Saccharomyces cerevisiae S288C: one gene and its partner. Each later gene encodes a partner of the first gene's protein in a complex. Each region holds a gene or a part of one and is shown on either strand. Other genes may lie near its edges. A codon is read from its position in the direction of its gene.

What was found. Proteins that work in one complex are often made in the same cells at the same time.
Region 2: the proteins of MAK3 (region 1) and MAK31 are in contact, whole or in part, in a crystal structure (PDB 6YGA), measured with the Saccharomyces cerevisiae proteins. Residues at the interface, in NP_015376.1 of Saccharomyces cerevisiae: Glu13 (codon at 1,942), Ser32 (codon at 1,999), Ile33 (codon at 2,002), Tyr34 (codon at 2,005), Arg37 (codon at 2,014); in NP_009948.1 of Saccharomyces cerevisiae: Ala30 (codon at 680), Val31 (codon at 677), Asp32 (codon at 674), Gln34 (codon at 668), Asn36 (codon at 662), Leu37 (codon at 659), Leu38 (codon at 656), Ser57 (codon at 599), Pro59 (codon at 593).

The regions. Positions count from the first base shown.
Region 1 is NC_001148.4:663,055-665,990, forward strand, and holds MAK3 (peptide alpha-N-acetyltransferase MAK3), read left to right. Parts: upstream 1-1,905; coding exon 1,906-2,436; downstream 2,437-2,936. Other genes in the region: autophagy protein ATG11, read right to left, coding at 1-1,619; NHP6A (high-mobility group nucleosome-binding protein), read right to left, coding at 2,639-2,920; YPR053C (uncharacterized protein), read right to left, coding at 2,734-2,936.
Region 2 is NC_001135.5:154,330-157,232, forward strand, and holds MAK31 (Mak31p), read right to left. Parts: upstream 768-2,903; coding exon 501-767; downstream 1-500. Other genes in the region: PET18 (Pet18p), read right to left, coding at 1-330; HTL1 (Htl1p), read left to right, coding at 991-1,227; HSP30 (Hsp30p), read right to left, coding at 1,780-2,778. UniProt on the Saccharomyces cerevisiae protein: Component of the NatC N-terminal acetyltransferase, which associates with the ribosome to acetylate nascent protein chains in a cotranslational manner.

The DNA of each region.
Region 1 (2,936 bases):
TCATCTTCATTTGGTGGAGAAGTATGAGAGTGATATTCGTTTAGACGTTTGAAATCAGAGGAAGACAATAGATCTTCGCAAAAAACAGTCGCGATGGAACCGAAATTTTTAACCCATTTATTTCTTGTTCGTAATTCATTTTGTTTGAACAACTCTAAATCTTGATTAAAATTTGAGATAAATGACAAAATTTGTTGGAACCATGATAGCCTACGATATTTTTCGATTAAATAAAGCCCATATATCAGAGGCAAATCTTCTACCTGTGCAAATTCTACCTCATATTTCTTGTATAGCTCTAAATCTTTATTACATTCATTCAATAATAGTCTTTTAATACCTAGGATTTCCATCTGGGTGAATGCTATGTTACCCAAAATGGCTACTGCATGCTTTTGTAGACTTTTTTTTAAATCTATTAGTTCTCCTATTTGTGAATACAGCGCTTGTGATATAGTGAAGAGAGTTTTCACTGATTCTTTTTTATCCTTTTCCAACATCACATTCATGCTTTTCAAAAATTCTTGACTATTGAATTCTTCTTCTTCTTTATCAAGTACATTTCTGCTTCTTGTTCGCATTTCTGATACCAGTACCTCAAAGCTCTCTGCCATTTGGTCTTCAAGCTCGAATTTAGATTCATTCGGGGTAAACATTTGCCGCAGTCGATCGATGTTTACTGTTATAATATCTCTAAAACTTGCATTTTCGTCAATTTCCCTCTTAATTTTATTCAGCTTACCATTGATTGAATGATTTAGAATCTTTACAGATTTTTCGTTCTCCAGGAGAGATTCAATATTAATGAACTTTTGTAAAGAATCACCCTCTAAAGCAGTCAACTTACTCAAGGTGTCATTGAAGCATTTTTCCCATTTTGAAGTCATACCATTGTCTACCAGCTGATTTAAAAATTGAACGTTTGAGTTATACAAACTTTCTACATCAAAGCAGTACAGCTTCAAATATTGTGAGCAAACGGTTAAGCCATCAAAAATACGCTTAATATGGGCTATTATGTCTGGTATGAGGCTCTTAAAATAATGTACATCTATTTCTAAAGCGCTTAGCCAACCAAGGTTCGTCGTCAGTAAGCTAGTTACGGAATGGTAATTTAAACGCGAAAGATCTACGTCTGCGTCCTCCAAAGGCGAGGGCATAGGCTTGATCATAATAGTATCGCTACCTTGGTATTGAGATATATGACTATTCTTAATTAAATATTCCAGAGTCTCTGTCAAGTCGTTGGAATTAGGGGAGTTCATGGGATTAGAATCCTTAGACGTTAAAAGATTTGTTGGTGTCGGTTTACTAACAAGTGAGAATAGTCGTCTGTCGTAAACGTAAAAATCATTTAGAGTAAAAGACCTATTAATAAGCAGCTCTTTAAACATCGACGGTTTTAGTTTGTTACCATAAGGTAGTAGAATCAGCAGCTGATCGGGAGGAATCTTCCATTTCCTAGCAATGAACTGTTTAAATTTGTCCAGGGAAACGAAAAAATCAACATTCGTAGTTATACATTCTCCAGATATTGCATTTATGATAGTGGCTGTTGTCTGCAGTGGTGTTATTTCTTGCTGGGTAGGTGCAGTGCTATATTCATCAGCGTCTGCCATGATGTATAAAAGAAAATAAAAGAAGTACTTTCCGAACAACAACAGTACACTAAAATAATCGTTGTTCAAAGGAGGACTACTTTGGTTCTGATTTGAGAAAATGGTACTCAAATAAGGGCATCGCTATTATATAGTTCCATTCCTACCAAGAAACCGGGTAGCCAAAAGCGATAAAAAGGCTCTCCATGGCAAGCCTTATTAAAAATAATAATCATGAAGAACAAAGTTTCACAAGAGATTACAAGATAAAAAAGCCACTACTACAGAAAAGGCGTTGGGTCAGGACATGGAAATAGTGTACAAGCCATTGGACATACGTAACGAAGAGCAGTTTGCTAGTATTAAAAAACTAATAGATGCGGATCTATCAGAGCCGTACTCGATATACGTATATAGGTATTTCTTGAACCAATGGCCCGAGTTAACGTACATTGCCGTTGACAACAAGAGTGGAACGCCTAACATACCCATTGGTTGCATAGTGTGTAAGATGGACCCGCATAGAAACGTGAGACTGAGAGGATATATAGGAATGCTAGCCGTAGAGTCCACATACCGCGGGCATGGCATAGCAAAGAAACTAGTGGAAATTGCCATAGATAAAATGCAAAGGGAACATTGCGATGAGATCATGTTAGAAACAGAGGTGGAAAATTCGGCGGCTCTAAACTTATATGAAGGAATGGGTTTCATCAGAATGAAACGGATGTTCCGCTACTACTTGAATGAAGGGGACGCCTTTAAACTGATATTGCCGTTGACTGAAAAGAGCTGCACTCGGTCTACGTTCCTAATGCATGGCCGGCTGGCCACATAAAAGGAAAAACACTCGATGATGATAAAATATATATTAATAATACAATTTTTTTATTTATTTATTTAATCATATGTATAGATATAGAAAAAGGGCAGTAGAGAAAAGAGGAATAGAAAGGAGAGAGATAATAAAGCAAGTTTCAAAAAGAACAAGAGGAAAAGAAATTAAATCACACAGACAAAAACGCGGGGAGGAAGTATCCCTAAGCCAAAGTGGCGTTATATAACTCCTTTTCGGATTCATATCTCTTCTTATCGGCCTGGGCCTTGGCCTCGTAAGGCTGCTTTTCCTCTGGCGTTAGAGCCTTCCACTTCTCACCCAACTTCTTGCCGACTTGTCCAAATGTGATATCTGGATTTTCAGAACGAACAATATCTCTGTTTTCGTTAGCGAAAAACATGTAGGCGGACAAAGCCCTCTTAGGGGCATTTGGGTCCTTCTTCTTTCTAGTGGTTCTCTTCTTAGGTTCTCTTGGGGTGACCATTGCGACTGTGCTTTAC
Region 2 (2,903 bases), on another chromosome or scaffold:
CGCTTTATTGTCAAAATTATCTCTTTCTTCCTTGGTGAGGGATGGTGCCAATAATTCTAAGCAGTCATGAAAGTATGAGTTTTCATCATTAGAAAAAAATCCAATCTTTTTGGCTAAGGTTATTAAAGCGTGAGTAGTTGGTGCTAAAGAAGTCGTCTTACATATCAACCTTAAGCTAGTTTCAAAAAATTGCAGATCTTGTGATAAATAGATGTACAAACTACGGTCCTTCAATGTTCCGGCACATAGTTCCTTAGCGAATTTATGTTCTGTGGTTTTCCTAACAAGGGCGTCGTACTTTTGTATTAACTTATCAGTGGTACAGCTCATTGTTCTTCCTTGCAGATATTGTTGATATTGTTATTATTTGCGCTAAATTTTAGTTAATACAGAAAAAAATATCTAAGTTCAGTCCAGTTCATATTCGTTTATATATCTTTCGAAGCCAGACCTTTTTTGCCAAGCAATTGTTACTATGGAAACTATTAGAACCATATGCGCTAAACAATATTAGCCATCAATTCAACTTTATTCGCAGTAAGCTCCTGCAGAACAGGCTTATCAATCATTATGGTCTTAACGGAACGCCTAGGGACGCTGACTAGGCCCATCATTCTACTACTGGAGCCCATACGTTCCTCAACATGATCTAATAGCAAATTCATTTGGGCATCTACAGCAACCAAGCTTCCAACTAAAATACGATCTTCTGTAAGGGAAACTATTAAAGTATTTCCAATAAAATCTGACAGTTTCAAGATGTCCATGACGCTTTGGTGCCCCTTACTAAGTTTGTTGAAGACTATCTTCACCCTATCAATGATATCATCGCATTTAAAAAATAGTCAGAACTCATGCACTTCGCGAGATATTTTTTGAAAAAAAAAAAATTAATCCGCCACATAAGATGCACAAAATGAGCCTATAACATTGAATTTTATGATAGAACGAAAGGATTGTGTTATTTAGAACAGAGTATCAGTATATCGTATGTCACAGAACAACACAATCAGCTCAATGAATCCTGAAAGAGCTTACAACAATGTAACGCTGAAAAATTTAACAGCATTTCAGTTATTATCTCAAAGAGAAAACATATGCGAGTTATTGAACTTGGTAGAAAGTACGGAAAGACACAATAGTATTATCAATCCTGAAAGGCAAAGGATGAGTTTGGAAGAAATGAAAAAAATGCTCGATGCTTTGAAAAATGAAAGGAAAAAGTAGGAAAACGCAACATTCACAATTGTAAGCTACAAAATATTGAATGTGAATCCTGCTTCATTACAAATGAAGAATTTCAAAGCGTATCTAGTTCACCAAAAGTCACAATATCTTATTATTATTTGGAAGCTTTTATATGCATCTAATGGTCATAAATCCCATCTCACTTTATAAAACAAGTTACCGCGAATGTATCCAGTGATACAGAATAGAGTGTAACAAATGAGAATAAAAATACCATATTATCGTTTAATTTTGGTAGGGTACGCTAAAATAAAGTGGTGTTTGCGTCTCCATATAACTAAAAAGAATTGAAATGGCCTACTATCGATTAGACTATTCAGGCATGGAAGCAGTAAGAACATTTCTTGATTTTGGAAAAATGAGATTAGATTATTAATTATTGTGTTTGTGTATATAATTTATTTTGCATATTTCATAAAGAAATTAAAATTAGATTATTAAATATTAAGTTTCATTAGTGACATTAAAAGAAGAAAACTGATGTTTTGAAATGTGTTAAGCAAAGAATGATTAAGACAATCTCAAGCTGCTCTAAGCAGTATCTTCGACAGCTTGCTCTGCTTCAGGTTCGGGTTCGTGGATTGCAGTCTCTCCAGATGCTCTTGGGCTCTCTGGAACAGCTTCTTTTGTTTCAGGAGCCGCATCTTCCACATCGTCCGTAGCATGGTGATGAGAGAATCCTCCTGTCAAAGATAGCCTTGGCAATTTGCCATCACGGCTGACTGCAATTAGCAAGTAACATGGATAAATGGCAAATACACATAAATCCAAAACACCATAAAAGATAGCCTCACCGTCTGGTTGAATACGGTTACCACCATCACTTAGACCCCAACAGATAAAGTACAACCAAACGATTACCATGCAGGTACACAGCATAAGTGCATTGAACCCTCTAGTTTTCAAATTGAAGAATTGACGTTGGCATATCACACCTTGGGTAACCAACATAGCGACAGCACCAATGGTGTAATAACCCCACTTGTAGGTGGACTTGATCAATGAACCAACTAATAGCGAAACAACCCAGAATAAGGTACCCACGATTTGAATTAACAGCGAATGTACCATATCCAAGGCGGAAATGTCGTCATTCTCACCAGTAGTACTAGCGGCTAACTCGATTAAAAATAAAAGGCATGGCCAGGACAAGAACCAGGCAATATATTTCGAGTAAAAGATTTGTCTAATACCGGGAACTTCACCTGTGATAGACTTGCTAACCTTGACGTGGTTAAATTCAGCTTGAACACCAGTCCAACCTAAATCAGAAGCATAAGTGAAGAAAGCAAAAAATTCAAAGAAAGTGATCAAAAATGCAGGAGCTAAGGCATATCTAGTCAATCTGGAGCCCTTGTTCTCCGCAATGAAGAACATCACAACATAGCATAGCAATATAAAGCCAAAGACTGCAAACACTGCCCATAACCAATCCGAACCTCTCTTGGTAATGTGCATATCCAGGCCATGTGGTGGATTAAGCCCTAAAGCCTCGTTACGATTTAAAAAGCTTGATAGCGTATCGTTCATTTGAAATTTGTTGTTTTTAGTAATCAAAAGATATTAAAGTCTCAAACTTGTTGTTTTGTTTTTGTAATTATAAATAATAATAATTGAGTTAATATTTGTTGTTGTGTTGTATTGCAGAATGTAAA